2 linked regions of the Notamacropus eugenii genome follow. The protein of the gene in region 1 purifies or fractionates together with the protein of each later gene. This does not show direct contact. Links are inferred from orthologs where the notes say so. Each region holds a gene or a part of one and is shown in the gene's direction. Other genes may lie near its edges.

Region 1 (7,744 bases):
CATTCTCAAGTGTTTTCTTTTCTGGGCAAATGAGTTTGAAATGAAGCACAGTAAGAGCCCCATAGATTTTGAACCAGAAGAGACTTTGGAAGTTATCTAGGCCAATGTCCTCATTTTTTACAGGTGAGGAAACCAAGACCCCAAGGTGAAGTCACTTACCTAAGGTCTCACAGGGAAAGAAGCGACAGAACTCAGATCCTTCTTCTACTCTCTATCACCCTTTTTTCACTCTAGGGATGTCTACACATCTATTCCTGTAGATCCCTAAAACCGTTTGAATATTTATAGGTGGGCTGAAGAGCTTTTATTGTCTTTTGCTTCTTAAAATAGTTGTTTCTCTTTTTAAAAGCTGCAAACAACTTCTTGATACTAAAGTTATCTTTGGGGAATTATCAGGAAGCTGGATGCCAGTGATCAAGAAAAGGAAAAAAGCGGGGGAGGGGTTTTGATTTGAAGAATGCACATTTGTTCAGGTCGGGTCATGAGAAAGATAATTATCCTTCCACTTTAAGTCCCCAGTTTCTCAGCTGACCTCATTCTTCCTAGCTTGGTGCCTTACAGTCAGCACTCCTGGCCACTGAGCTGATGAATTCATTTTGCCACTGCCCCTCTTTCCCCTCTCCTGAAACATGCGTCTCTGTAAAGAGACTTCACTAGGGGGAGCATCGTGTCGTAAAGACCAGCCTGCCGCCCTGCATGCAGAACAAAATGATGAAAAACCTGGTAAACCATATGGTTAGGAGGGCAAAAAGACAGAGACAAGAATCTTGCGCAGCGTTAGATTCAAGCTTAGGTTGAAGCTTAGGCCTAGACTCCAGCCACATTCCTCTGTGCATATGAAGGGTTCATTTTATGTTTTCTAATATGCCTCAGGTACGTTAGGTTGATTTGGCATGGGGAGCCCACTGTCATCATGAGACTCATAACAGACAAGTTGGATGTGCATTTTCAGACATGAAGATGTTGGGTCAGATTTTCCTCTCAGACACTTTCAGGTATTGATTCCTTGGAAGGTCTTACCCATATCTGATCATGTACTGCTTGTAAAGAAGGAAAGGTATTCATTTTTCCCCTTACCATACCACTGGTCTCTGAACAAAGATATTTATAAGTGAACCTGTAACGTAAAGAATCCTCTTTGTAAAGAGAGATACGTGATTCTTGGCTCCAAATGTCACCATCCCTAAATCTGGATAGTGAGGTAAGACTGCATTTTCAGCAGATCCTCAGAATTAAAAGGCTCAGAATTTGGCAGGGCTGGGATGCAGACCAGTGACACAGAACCATTACTTCCATAGAACTCCTTGGATGAGGCTTGGTCCAGACTTCTCCCAGAGTTACGTGCATGGACAAATGATAATGGGCACAGTCAAAAGATAAACTTATCATTGGATTAGTGTCAACACTCTGTGAGAACTTCAAGAGTGAGAATGAAATCACATCAGTGGACATCTACCCTTCATGCCTTGCAGGCATGCTACTGCTTTACAGTAAATGGAGTTAAATGAAGAAGAGAAATTATGATGTGCTCTTAAGCCTGTCCCTTGGCGTGATTTCCATTCTAGGGAATGGGGCTCATCAGGTTTCCTTCCTACAGGCTTGAGGGCAAACCCAAGTATTCATTTCCACAAATTGAATGTCTACCGTATGGTCTATGTGTAAAATGCTCAAAAAATGAACCCCCAATTAGATACCAGCATCCAGCTAATGTCTGTGGATAGTCTGAAGCAAAGCCTGAACATTATAAACCACCTCATGTAGTTCTTAGTGCTGGGCTCAAGAGTGACAAATGCATTGGCAGAGACGATTAAGAATCAATGATGGTCTGGTTCCCTTGTCCCCCTTTATTTGTGTTTTGAGGTTACCAGACAAGGATTAGTTGAAATAGTTGAATTTGCTGTTATAGGCATTCAACAGAAACTAATAAAACAATTATTTTTATAAGAAAGGCAAAAATGTTGCTCTGTTTAACGTTCGGCCTTAATTTTAATATACGTGGTCTGTGATTTTCCTTGACAAACAGTAACCAATGAGGAATTAGGACAGATTGCTTGGCTTTGTTTTGTAATTGACATGGACTAGTTAGGAGAGAATTCACCAGTCCTTGACTCAAACACCAGAACGTGGGAAATGGAGTATCAGCTAAGCAGTGACTACTGTTTGCATCTTACCGCCATGGAGAGGGTATTTGCCGCCTCCAGTTTGTTGGCTTCACTGTCTTGTACACGAAAGCAAGGCATTTGTCATCATCCTCTGATATCACTGTAGTGGACAGTTAAACATGGTATTTGAAGGCAGCTCCAAATTAGAGTTTAATTTTTGATAGCGTTATTAAATGTGGAAGTGGAAAATTATCAATGTGCTCAAATCTAAAATGTAAATAGAAGAATAAGGGAAAATGTACTCATATGAGAAAGTATTTAAGGAAGAAAAATTGCTGCTCCGGGCCCATCGGTTATGCTTGTAAACAGCTGGGTTAGCCAGTCCGGTCCTCTTTCAACATCTCAGTTAGCAGTACTAATAAGGGTTTGTACGCTGCTTTTATGTGGTTTCTTTTTTGACTGGTTTAGAAAAGAACTGTCAGCTTGGGAGCTGAAATGGAGCTCCTTATTGGATGAGGGCATTTTAGAAGAGAGGAGGTTTATTCTGAGTACTGTGTACAGGAGAACTGAGACCCACGGGAGGACATTATAGGGAAGCGCACTGGAGCTTAATTAACGATGCTGGTGACGATCACAGGAGTTCCAGTCCTTCTGTCCCTCCCGGATCACCGCAAGTCATCCACAGAGCGCGGCCGGCTGTCACCTGTCAGGAACGCTGCTGGGGACACGTGTGGCTCCGTGTCTGACGGCAATGACGGCCGGAGCTCCTGGCCCGGTGGTTCTGAAGGCCCCCGGGATTCCGCCTTGTCCTCTTCGTGACCCTGCTTGGGGTTGTCTTGGTAAAGGCACTGCGGTGCTTTGCCGTGTCCGTCTCCACCTCGGGCCGGCGGGTGAAATGACTTTCCCAGGGTCACGCAGCTGTGAAGTGTCTGAGGCCTGATTTGAACTTGGGGAGACCGTCTTCCCGATCCAGGCCCTCGCGCTCTGTGGCGCCACCTAGCGGCCCATTCCATACATCGGATGACTTCTATTCTCCATTGGGTTCTGGATTAGGAAGTTGTTTTGCTTTCTTTAAATGATTTCCCTCCAGATCACGGCTTTTTGTTTTTAGGACTTATTTAAAGGCAGGAAAAGGGGCAGTAATTTCATTTTCTTGAACTCAAGACTTGTCTGCAACCGTCCAGGAAATCAAGGAAAACATTAACCATCAGTCCCCCCCCCCCCCCATTTACAAATTTTGTTTAAAAAAATATCCTCCCAGCCTCTTCTGTTTGGGCCTAAAACAACCGCCGTCCGGGGAACGCTTCGGTTAAAATCCGGGTTGCCCCAAAACGTCCCCCGGACGCTCCCTCGGAGCCTGTCGGTTACACTCCGTGAGCGGAATCCCTGTTTCCGCACTAATCTCTAGTCTCTCCAGGGGTACGGCTGTTTGTCGTTACTGACTCGCCGGGTGTGCCTGGCGGGGGGTGGAAGTCTGGACCCCGGCGTGAGGAGAGGTGCCCCGGCCGGCCGGAGGAGAGTGGGACGTGAGCTTAGCCTCGGCGGGCCCGGGGTTCCGGGGTGACCTGAGAGGCAGCAGCCTCTCCGCCTTCCCTCTGGGGAGGCTCCGGTCCTGGCTCCCCGGGTCCCACGGAAGCAGCGCCCGGGAGCGATCCTTACCCGCCCGGCACTTCGCCGGGCCCTGAGAGCAGCGGGCTTCTGCTCCGAGCCTGCCTTTCCCCGCAGGCCTGGAAGGGGTTAAGCGCTGTTCGGTGCGCTCAGCTCGGCTCCGGTGCCCGGTGCCAGTGCACATACAAAGGCACGGTCTAACGCTCGGCCTGCGGCCGCGGACGCGCGGGCATGTGCCGGGAGCTCGCGCTCGGATTTTCGCTCCCCTTGCCCCCCTCCGGCGGTGACTCCGGGCGCCCCGAGTGAGTGGTCGGGGCTTCCCCATTCACGCTTTTGACAGCTGGGACGCCCGCTGGCCGGGCTCGGCTCTGGGCGGCCCGAGGGCGACCCCCGGCCGCCGGGGCCTCCTCCTCCCCCACCCCCCCGGGACGGGCCGGGTTTAAAGGGCCCGGAGCGGCACGCGCGGGGGCGACCCCGCGGCCGGCCGACGGCCGGGCGGGGGCGGAGGGATGGTCCCGCCGCGCCTCGCTTCCCTGCTTCACCCTCCACTCCGGGGGCTTGACGTGCAAACTTCGCCCGAGCGGAGCGGGGCGGGGAGGGGAGGGGAGGAGGCGGCGGCGGGAGGTGCCTCCGCTTAAGGGAGCCGGCAGCGGGCGGGCGAGCGGCGCCGGCCGGCCGGCCCACCGGACCGACGGAAGCCAGGGCCCGGGGCCCAGCCCGGGGATGAGCGCGGCCGACGCCAGGCGAGCCATTGCGGGGGAGGGGAAGGGGGCAGGAGGGCGGGCCGGGGGCGGGGGGCCGGCCGCGGAGCGCGGGCCCGGCCGTAGAGGCGGGCGGCCCGGCCCCGGCGGCCCCTCTCGGACAGGTTGATCCGAAACTGAAAGCAAACGCCGGGCGGGGGCGGGGGCGGCGAGGCGCGGGAGCGGGGGAGGGGGCGGGGAGGGCCGCCCTTCCCGGACTTTGTGCCCCGCTCGCTCCCCCGCGCCCCGGGGGCTCGAGAGGGGGAGGGCGAGCTGCCCTCGGGGGCGGCTGTCAGAGCGCCCCACCCGGCCCCGGGCCGCGCACGCCGCCCCGCCTCGGCAGCGCCTCCTTAAGAAGCCCCGCGACTCTTTCCCCCTTTTTTTGTTACATTGTAGCAGCGGAAAGAATGTCGGAGAGGGCCGCGGATGACGTCAGAGGGGAGCCGCGCAGAGCGGCGGCGGCGGCGGCGGCGGCAGCGGCGGCGGCGGCGGCGGCGGGAGGAGCAGCGGCGGCCGCCAGGCAGCAGCCCCAGCAGCCCCAGCCCCAGCCGCGGCCCCGGCCGGCCCAGAGCGGCGGCGCCTCCGCCTCCGCCTCCGCAGTCACAATGGCGACCGTCGGGGAGCGCAGGTCTCTGCCCAGTCCGGAGGCGATGGTTGGACAGCCGTGGAACCACTGGGTAGAAGCCGCGAAACTTCCCGGGAAGGACGGTGAGGATCCCCCTCCTCCCCCACCCCCGGCCCCTGCCCCGGGGGAGGGTCGCCCCCGCCCTGCCCTGCCGGGCCGGCACCGGCTCGCCGCTCGCGCCCCCCACTGACCGGCCGCTCTGGGCGCTGTGTTCTTCTCTCCCCAGGGTCAGAATCGGAGGAAAGTTTGAAGGAGTTTGGGAAAAACCGCGAAGTAATGCGGCTGTGCCGAGAAGGTGAGTCCGGCCTGGAGCGCCGGGCCGGGATGGGGCCGGGATGGGGCCGGGATGGGGCCGGGGGAGGGGCGGAGCCAGGGCCCTTTAACAGCCCGGCCGGGAGCATCCTCCGCCCCGGCCGGGCGGCTCGCGGGCACCTGGAGGGGCGCGCTCGGGGTGCCCGGGCCAGCACGGGCGGACGGGCCCCGGGGCCGGGGAGGGGGCGCAGCTTCGTCTGGACGCGAAGTTGGTGAAAGTCGGAGTCCGGACGGAGCCTTGTCGGGTCCCTGTGCACGGGCCGGGTGCCCCTTGGGGGTGCCAGTCATCGGTCCGAGGCTGGTTGTGGCAGCAGCAGCTGCTCTTTGCGCCCGGCTTCGGTCAGAGCAGGGGCTGTGCCCCCGAACGGGGGCAGGGGAAGGCCGTCGGCGCCCAGCAGAGTGAGCCCCCTCGGGAGCTGCTGGGGGCCCTGGGTTCAGGCTCTGCGCCCCAAAGCCGGCCAAGGGTGGCGCTGGCCAAAGGAAGATGCCCGGGAGGTGCAGGCCCCACGCTCGGCTTTACGGTTCTCACCCTGGCAGCGTGCCTTGGCAGCTTTTTATTTTCATTTTTCCCCTCAGGTCCCCTCAGGTCCCGGAGCCCGATGCCTAGGGACGGGAAAGCGCCACAGGGAGCCTGTGCCACTTTTAGAGGCCTGAGCTTTTGTTTGTACTGCTGGTTGGGCCTTTCTGTAGGCCACTTGTGGAGTGTCTTGGCACACTTAGGTAACCCACTACTCCCGGTGGCAGTAGAGATTTCTCGATTGGAGAGTATCGCAGAACAAATAAATTGGTTTTGAAATGAGAATTGCTGTTAGAAAAGAGACAAGGAAGCCCAGCCCTTGTCAGAGATGTTGCAATAGGAAAAATCAGTTGTTAGTCTGGTTTTGGTGCTGAATTGGCAGCCTGCCTGGGCATTAAAAACATTAAAATCTTGTGGTGAATATTCCCTGGAGATCCTTGGAAATGGGTAGATGTTGTAGAGGAAACACTAAAGTAGAGGACTTGTCTTGGCTGTGTGTGTAGACCTTCTTAGGAAGGGTTTTTGATCTTAGGGAGCCCTTTGTATGAATCATTAGTACCTCTTTAGCTAGGGTTGCTTTGGGATCCAACTGGAAGGACTCATTTTTAATGCCCTGTTTTTGATTCCTGTGTTCTGGGTCTTGTTCTTTGCCTTTTTTCGGAAGCTGGTTTATTGTTCCCTAGTTCATATGTATCCCACTGTGTAACATGCCAAGGGGATGGTACATAGTAGGCACTCAGTAAATGCTTTTCAAATTGAATTGAAAAGCATTCCACCATAAATTATCTGTAAGCCATTTCACTGCAAATTAATTGAAGGCCTAAGGTTTCCTACCACCTTTTATCAGGCATAACTGATTGTGCATTGGTCTACCTAAATGGATAGATGTCTGTATTCCAGAGGTAAATGTGAATGAATTTTGGATTTTTTTTGTTTTTAATTTTATTTATTCTCCTTCGTTAATAGAACATTGAGAATCGACTGTCTTTTCTAGAATGAAAGAGTAAGCTCTGTTATGCTTCCTGTCATCCCCAATGCTCTCTTATTGGGTCTTCTGCAATTTGCCAGTTCAAGGCTAACTCGTTTTAGTAACAGTGAGGTGCTCAGAAAGAGGCCAGATCCATGCTCTGAATCACCAAAGATCATTTATGCTCAGGTCAGTTTTATGGAGTGCATTTTAGTTCTTTGAAAACTGATAATCCTATGACATGTATACCTTAACTCGCTTAAGCAGAATATTGGATTAACTAGAACACTCCATTCCCTGACGACAATAGTTTTCCTTTTTTTTTTTTTTTTTTAAATTTTAAGACCTTCATCGGATAAGTCAGTAAGTATCCATAGGGCATCCTCTCCTCTTGCTCACCTCTGTTAGCTGCTTGTAGGAATAAGGACACATGTAATGCACTAACCCTGCTCTCAAGGAGTTTGTAATCTGGTTGAAAAGAGGCTTGTCAGTGAAAGGCTAGTGATTAACAGTATACAGTTTTATGCTTGGTTGTGTGGCATAGATTGTGAAAGTTCAAAAAAAAATGCAAGATAGATAAGTCAGCAAGCAGTTATTAAGCACCTACTGTGTGATGGACATCATGTGAAGCCCTGGAAATAAAATAAAAGGGTGCGGGGAAGAAATCCCTGCTCTCAAGGAGCTCACAATTTTACAAACTGGGTACAAACAAGTTGAACAGAAGAGATATTGGGGAGAAATCAGTAGAGGGAAGGCACCAGTATTGAGGGGGATCAAGAAAGGATCATTGTAGCAGGTGGACAAGTCAGGTAAGGTTTCATAGAGCTGGAAGACTTTGATCTGGAATTTTGTGTATCATCTGGATATTAAGAT
Region 2 (8,184 bases), on another chromosome or scaffold:
GCCTATGATACTATAAGGAGGAAGGGGGAAGAAGTGATAGAAGTCTGAAGAGAGAGACAGAGACACAGAGATAGAGACAGAGAGACAGAGTTGTAATCAGACTCAGTCTAAAATAAAAGGATTATTGTGCTGTAAGAGTCCCAATGATTAGATGACATAAAACCAGTAAAATCCAGACAACTTGGTTATGTGGTACTTTTTTGGGGGGGGTAAAAATTTTATTGTTGCTTTTTTCCTCACATTCTTAACACTTCTCAATAATTCCCTCACACCCATAGAACCCTTTTTTTTTATAACCAAATGAATACAGTTGAGTAAAGCATATCTCCAGAATGGTCCTGTCTCAAAAGGTATGTGTTTATTCCACACTTCTGTCTGCCACCTCTCTGCAGAAAGAAGGGAGACAGGCTTCACCATCAAATCCTCTGAAATTATAATTTGTCATTCAGTCATGTCCAACTCTTTGTGATCCCTTTGGGATTTTCTTGGCAAAGATAACTGGAGTGGCTTACCATTTCCTTTTCAAGTTTATTTTATAGATGAGGAAACTGAGGCAAACAGGATTAATTTAATTGATTTTCTCAGGATCACACAGCTACTAACTATCAGAGGTCAGATTTAAGCTCAGGCCCAGCACTCTATCCACTGTACCATCTAGCTGCTCGAGATTATAATTGGTCACTGCATTGATCAGAGTTGTAAAGTCTTTCAAAGTTATTTTCCTTTACATAATTGTGGTCATTACATACACTGTTCTTCTTGTTCTGATTTCTTTGCTTTAAATCAGTTTGTATAAGTCCTCCCAAGTTTCTCTGAATTCTTCATATTCAGAGGTAATTTCATAAAGCATGATTTTAATCTCATTCACATGCCAACCTTGTTCAATCATCTCCCAGCCAATGAGCATTCCCTTTTCTTCCAAATGTTTACTACTACAAGAAGTGCTACTATCAGTATTTTCACAATGACAGGCCATAGGTCTAGAAATAAAAGGCTCCACCTTTCCCTTTCACTTTACTGGGGCCCAGGGAGCCTAAACAACATCTTCAAAATCATATAAGGAGCATCAGAGGAGGATCTTCAACCCATGTCCTTGGACTCCAAAGACATGGCTCTTTCTACTATGGACTATTCTTATCTTTGAAGCAGCTAGATGGTGCAGGGGCCTGAGTTTAAATTTTACCTTAGATACTTAGTAGCTGACTAAAGACTCATCTTGCTGAGTTCAAATCTGGCCTCAGACACTTACTAGTTGGGTGACCCTAGGCATGTTACTTCACCCTGTTTGACTCAGTTTCCTCATCTATAAAATGAGCTGCAGAAGGAAATGGCAAACCACTCCAGTATCCTTGCCAAGGAAACCCCAAATGGGATCATGGAGAGTCAGATATAACTAACAGACAAAAACAATGGGTGGGGGGTGCAGCTAGGTGGCACAGTGGATAGAAAAACACCAGGCCTGGATGCAGGATGATCTAAGCTCAACCTTAGACATTAGCTGTGTGACTCTGGGCAAGTTACTTAACCCTTTTTGCCTCAGTTTCCTCATCTGTAACATGAGCTGGAGATGAGAAGGAAATGGCAAACCACTCCAGTACCTTTGCCAAGAAAACCCCAAATAGGGGCATAAAGACTGAACAATAGGGACATCAAAATAGCTGGGCCATGCCCCTTTGACTTCTTGGCAAATAGGTGAGAGACAGCCCCAAGGCCCCTCCTCCACCTTGAAGCCCCCAGAAGTTCCTGCTCCTTACTCTCTAAAGGAAGCCTTTCCCAATTCCTCTTAATTCTAGTGCCTTCCCTCTGTCGGCTACTTCCTATTTATCCTGTATATAGCTTGTTATTGCACAGTTGTTTATTTGTTGTCTCTCCCATTAGACTGGGAGGGGCTCTTGTCTTTTGTCTTTCTTTGTATCCCCAACGCTATATGGAGTGACCAATTCTAACTAGGCTGGGAAAGGGAGGTCCATTTGGCTAGTTAGTACCTTTTGCATGCATAGTCTATTTTTTTCTGGCTCAGCAGTCAGCCTTTTCTTCAGCACATAGTAATCAGACAGCAAATAGTTATAGAATACCTGGGCATGCTCTGAAATGGGGAGCAGGACATGCTATTATGCATATGGATTATACCAGGCAAAGAAGATTGCACATGTTCCCAAGCTGGGCTCTCATTGGCCAGCCCCCTGTCATATAAAGCATGGCTTTTTGTAGGGAGAGGAGAGAAATACATTAGGAAGTGAAAGTGATAAGAAAAAAAAAGATTTTTCTTTCCTTGCTCAAAAAAAAAAACCTACCTCTTCAGATTATTTATCTATTGGCGAAAGACTCTTGTTCTTATGCATTTAAATCTTGTATATCAGATCTTAGATATCCTTATTATAGATATGTGTTGCAAAGATATTTTCTCCAATGAACTGCTTCTCTTCTAATTCCATCTACACTAATTTTATTCATGGTGTCTGACTTTCCCCAAAGGACTTCTGTGAGACATGAGCAGGAAGAGAGATAGCAGATGGTGGCAGTAATCCAGCAGTTTGGCAAGGAATAGCTAGCTGATGAGAGGACCAAAAGGTAAAGAGTCTAAGGTAACTAACAGTATGTGGTTGAACTGGTCAAGGTCATGAAGGCATGGAAAGGAAGACAGAGAATAAAACAGGAAGGGATAGAAAGATTGGAGGCCACCATAAGCATAAAAAACAGATTTAAGAGGTGCCAGGTAGTGACGATAGGAATTCAGAGATTTAGATGCAGGACATGGAATAATTGCATTACAGGTGATGATCTGATTATTTGAGGAGTTCTAGGCAACTGAGGGGTAGAAAAGATGGAGGTCATGGGAGTTGAAGCACTTAAACTGTGAGCTCTAGTTGTTTCAGGAGACTGCCAATTATCTTGAAGTCCCCAAATATGAAGATTGGGTTTGAGGTTGGAGAAGAACCTTGAGTTCATTGAGAAAAGACTAAGAGACTGGCAAAGTTGACATAAAAGGAAAATAACAAATGTGAGAGGGGTTATGAGGGGAAAATGCACTGTTAGTGGAGCTGTGAATTGATTCAGTCATTATGGAAAGCAGTTTTGGAACTTTGCCCCCAAAGTTACTAAACTGTGCATTTGCCACAAGTAGGCCTGTATTACTAGACCCTTTAACGTAGAAATACCTAAGCTATGCTACAAAATGGTCAAAGAAAAAGGACCCATATGCAAAAATATTTATAGCAGCTTATTTTTTTTCTTTTGTAGCTGAAAAGAACTGGAAAATAGGGGAATGACCTTCAGTTGAAGAATGGCTGAACAAATTATGATGTATTAATGTAACGAATTTTATTGTTCTCAATGAAATGATGAAAGGGAGGCTATCAGAGAAACATGGGATAACAAATAAACTGAGCAGAATGAAATGAGCAAAAGCAGGAGAACTTACACAGTTAACAACATTGTAAAGACAAACTTGAGAGACTTAAGAATTCTGATCGATGAAATCACCAGCCATATTTCCCCAAGACCCAACGGGAAACGCGCTGATCTCCTGAGAGAGTGGTGATGGATTTGGGATGCAGATTGAAACACATCGTTTTTTTTTTATAAACACGGCCAATTTAAAAATGTTTTGCTTGACCATACATATTTGCTTAAAGAGCTTTTTCCTTTTTTTTCAGTGGAGATGAAGTGGGAAGCAAAGAAAACAAGTCTTTAATGTAAAAAAAAATAAATTTAAAGACAAGGAACTGTCAAAGACTTCAGAACTCTGAACCAGACAATGACCAACCAGGATTTCAGAGGACCCCAAATGAAATGTGCTGCCCACTTACTGAGAGACTGGTGATGGAACCAGGAGGTAGATTACAACACCGTGTTGGGAAACGGCCAGTAAGAGAATTTGTTTTGCCTGACTATGCATATTTCTTACAAGGGCTTTTTCTTTTTTCCCAACGAAGGAAGGTGTGAGGTGGGAAGAACAAAGATACATTTGTATGTGAAAATTTTAACTATTATTCATTGAAATTATTTTTTTAATGAAAAGACTAACAATGGCTTGGCAATCGCTAGAGAATAAGGAGTTCGACCAGGTGACAAATAGATGGAGGAAGGTGGCACCCTTGGTACAGTGGGAGGGGCGATTGAAAGGCACGTTGGGGGGTGGAGGCGTAGACACTGGGAGGCGGGGAAGGGGGGGAGTTAGGGGGGTTCAAGGGGCAGCGTCTGGCCCCACAGCTAGAAGTCCTGGGACCCTCTTCGCAGCCCAGAAAAAGGGTAAATCAGCAAGAACCAGCGGCATTCACTAAGCCACGTTCCCCAGAACACTGGGCCTGCAATGCGAGAGGCGGGGTTTCCCCGGGAAAAGGGCGGGGACTGCGGGTCCAGAGGCGTCCCCAGGGAGCGGGGAGGGGAATGGAGGGGAGCGGCCACCAGAGTTCAACACCACCGGCTCCCCGCCCAGTTAGCCGGCCGGGATTGCAACAAAGTATCCACCTCCCCAAGCTTCGCGCACCCCTGCTTTAAACACCGCTTCCGCTCCGTGCGGTCCTATAGGCCTGTCGGCGGGGATGCGTGCTTCCTATTGGCGAGGAGAAGACAATCGAGGCCCCGCCCCCTCCGCACACTCTCTAGGGAGGTACGGCCGTCGGGACGTTCGGCCGCGGCGTGGCCCTCCTCCTCTCCGCTCGGCTCCCTCCGCCTCCCCCGCCCCATCTCCGCCCCCAATAGCCAATGCGGCCGAGCGGCGGCCCGCGGGGCAGATGCACGCGCCGGGACCCCGCTAGCTCGAGCAGCCGCTGCGCGCGCGGAAGAGAGTGCAGGAAGACAGGAAGTGAGGGAGGGGACAGCGGGAGAAGGGGAGGGGCCCGAGGGTCGAGGCCGCTGCGGGGAGGCCGAGCGCGGGGCGGGGTGGCGCGCGCGCCCGGCTTACCTCGCGCGCGCGCGCTCTGGGCTCCTCGCGCCGCGCCCCCCGCCCGGGAGAGGCGGGCTGGATCGTCCCGGGGCGGGGGGGAGGTTGGAGGAGGAGGGGCGGGGTGAGGTGAGCAGGAGGCGGTGACGAGGCAGCGAGGCCAGGAGGGAGGGGAAGGAAGGGGCCATGGCCGCCCGCTGAGGCGGCGGCGGGGGGGAGGAGGCGGCTCGACCCCCGGCTCCGGGAGGCGAGGCGAGGGCGGACGGACGGACGGACATGGGTCCCCGGAGAAGTAGCAGCAGCAGCAGCAGCAGCCGCCGCCGTCGCCGCCGCCGGAGGACGCGGCCCTGAGAGGCCGAGAGGCCCCGGGGCCCCGGCGCAGCCCCCCGGGCGGGGTGAGTGAGGGGGGAGGGGAGGGGCCTGGGGTCCCGTGCCTCCGCCCCCTGACCCTTGACCCTCGCGCCCTCTGACCCGCCGCTGCCGGGCCCGCGTTCTCTTCCCCGCCCCTCCCCCAAGTCCCGGAAGCAGTGGGTGTTTCTCGGTCCCGGGGTGTGGCGTGCCCTCTTTCCCTCCTCCCCTCCCCCCGCGCTTGTCTTGGGATGGGGGAGGCCCCCGGGGCCGAGGAAGGCGCTGCCCTTTGTTTGGGAGGGAAGACCAGGTTGCCCTGAGGAGCTCGGACAATAGTCCCCTGGAGCACCCCTTCCTGCGGGGCAGGGCAGGGAGGATGCCCGGGCCTGGGAGGTTGTGGGGTGGGGCAGGACCTTGTTTCTCCCCAGGACTGGAAGAGATGGGAACTGGTGTGGTTTGGGCTCCTCCCTACCCCCCCCCCCCCCCAGGGTGATGCAGCGTCAATGCAGTATCGGGCAGGGTGGGGGAGAAAAACTAAAGTCCCCAACCTAAGTGCCTCGTTCCTACCTCCATTCACAAGCCCTAGGGTATTCTTAGCCCTAAAGGGGGAGGGGGGCTCCTTGACACCTCCAGAGACTCCACTGTTGGGAGGAGGGAACCGGTGAGATGGGTTACTGCTTTCTGCCATGCTGTCCTCCTTGGGCATGGGATTGTTGGGTGGGGGCTGGGGGAGATCTTCCAATTCCTAGCTCTTAATCCTTAATCAATGCTGAATAAGAGGTGTACAACTGGCAAGAATTTAAGAGCTCCTCAGTTCCACCCTCTACACTTTACTGATAAGGAAAGGGAGGCCCTAAGGTTAGTAGGTTAAGTAATTTGCCCAAGGTCACAAGTATTAAGTGATAGAGCCAAGACTAAAACCCTGGTTCTGTGATTCAAAATCCATTTCTCTGCACTGTAATGCAAAAATCCTGCCCGGTTCCTTGCTCCTTTATCTTAACCTTCTTACAAGGTTAGCTTCCTTGCTTTGGTTTGGTTTTATTTCATGAGGAGAGACCCAGGGTCCTCCTGCCAGTTACTATGACTTTGGGTAAGTCATTTAACTATTCTGGGTCTTAGTTTCTTAATTTGTAAAGTGAAGTGGTTGGACTAGAAAATCCGTAAGATACCTTCTTTCTCTAAATTTATGTGAGAATTCGGCAAAGGTCTAGGACAGGGAGTTACCTAAGGTGGCATAGCTCCAGGCCTTCTGTGGCCACCATGGCAAAACAGAAGTCACTTTGGGGATGAGATGTGTGTATGATGGTGGAAAGGGTCAAGCTTAGGAATCTGTATAATTTTCTCCCTTCCACCCTACTTCAAGAGAGTTTCAGGTTTCCAACCACTGAAAGAATATTTTTAAACAAGGTGGAAGAACTCAGGGATCAGTAAATTATGAAGGGAGAGGGGAGCTGGGGCTGGGGGAGAGTAGGTAGTAGAGATCCTCTGGACTTAAGCTACCCTTCCTCCCCCAACCCTCCATGTGTACAGCTGTGTGGCCTCCTGCTGTGCTATGAGCAGTCAGAACGTCTTCTCCACGAGAGTTTGCAAATGAAAATGGAGGAAATGTCTTTGTCTGGCCTGGATAACAGCAAGCTGGAGGTGAGAGCTCTCTCCCATCTGTTTGTCTGTCATCTTTGTTTTCTGGTTATCTATATTCATTATCAGCAGCAAAGAGAAACCGTTGGGTAGAAAAGGCACCGGAGGATTTCGAGTTAGAAAAGGCTTGAGTTCAAATTGTGCATTTGCCATTTTCTACCTGTGTGACCTTGGACAGGTCACATCAACTTTCCATAACTAAGTTTTTCCTTTTGAAAAATGAGGAGGTTGAATGAAATGTTCTGAGGATAGACTAGATGATCTCTGAAGTTCCTTTCAGCTATCAACGTTAGGCTCCAGGAATATGGGATAACCACTTTTTTGGGGAAAGGAATAACTGAAAGCCTTGAGAACTGGGAGAAAGAAGAATAGGAATTCAGGATGGAGGCTGGGCCTCTCGTGCTTGGGTCTGAAGCAGTTGTAGGTAACATTAGGGAAGTAAGGCTCAAGTGAAAAGGGCCCCTGCAATCACTCTTGTTCTTTTGGGGGGCCCAGGCCATCGCTCATGAGATTTACACAGACCTGGTGGAAGATGCTTGTCTGGGACTCTGCTTTGAGGTGCACCGGGCTGTCAAGTGTGGCTACTTCTTCTTAGATGACACAGACCCTGACAGCATGAAGGACTTTGGTGAGGCTCAGATGGTGGAAATGATACAAATTCTATCCTCGAGGCTTACTTCATGTCTCCGTAGAGTGTGAACCTTGGCCTTGGGGAGAGTTAATTTTCCTTGCTGTGTGGCTTGGGGTTCTTATGGTTAGTTGTGGTATAGGGCTGGATCTTATGGACTAACTCTCTCGGGTCTAGGAATTGAGTGGGAATTGAAAAGACCTAATGCTTTAAAAAACAGCCTTGCCTTTTCTGACTTGGGGGTGAGGGTTGGGGTGCAGGAGGTAGGTAAACAGGGTAGCAGTGTGCAAGTAGGAGTGTATTCTTTGTCATGTCCTGGCTGAGGCTTAGTATTACTTTCCTGCCTGTGCCATCTGCACCATGATTGCTAAATTCTGCGGTGGGTAGACATGACCTTCAGAGCCTTCCTTAGAAACAGCAGATCTTTATTTTCTCTCCCAGTCCCATGTGTCCATCTCTGCCCATGAGGAGCTGCATGTCATAGCTCAAGGGGCAGTTGTGTGTGAAATCAGGACTGTTTACTAAAGGTATATAAAGGATCCTCCTCCTTACCCTGATCTTTGTGACCCTCACCTCCCCAGAGATTGTAGACCAGCCTGGTGTGGATATCTTTGGGCAAGTGTACAATCAGTGGAAGAACAAGGAATGTGTTTGCCCCAACTGCAGCCGCAGCATTGCTGCCTCC

Evidence for each region. Proteins that work in one complex are often made in the same cells at the same time.
Region 2: the proteins of ATXN7 (region 1) and ATXN7L3 purify together in Homo sapiens (affinity purification with mass spectrometry; 9 studies listed by BioGRID and IntAct, counting the BioPlex papers as one, with this or other methods). This does not show direct contact. The link is inferred for Notamacropus eugenii from reciprocal best matches to the Homo sapiens genes ATXN7 and ATXN7L3.

What each region holds. Positions count from the first base shown.
Region 1 is NC_092874.1:460,449,288-460,457,031, reverse strand, and holds the start of ATXN7 (ataxin-7), read left to right. Parts: upstream 1-4,354; 5' UTR 4,355-4,453; intron 4,454-4,658; exon of another isoform or gene 4,659-4,846; 5' UTR 4,847-4,857; coding exon 4,858-5,158; intron 5,159-5,301; coding exon 5,302-5,370; intron 5,371-7,744. UniProt on the Homo sapiens protein: Acts as a component of the SAGA (aka STAGA) transcription coactivator-HAT complex. Mediates the interaction of SAGA complex with the CRX and is involved in CRX-dependent gene activation.
Region 2 is NC_092873.1:349,845,969-349,854,152, forward strand, and holds the start of ATXN7L3 (ataxin-7-like protein 3), read left to right. Parts: upstream 1-5,008; 5' UTR 5,009-5,280; intron 5,281-5,978; exon of another isoform or gene 5,979-6,091; intron 6,092-6,763; 5' UTR 6,764-6,823; coding exon 6,824-6,874; intron 6,875-7,366; coding exon 7,367-7,499; intron 7,500-8,080; coding exon 8,081-8,184. UniProt on the Homo sapiens protein: Component of the transcription regulatory histone acetylation (HAT) complex SAGA, a multiprotein complex that activates transcription by remodeling chromatin and mediating histone acetylation and deubiquitination.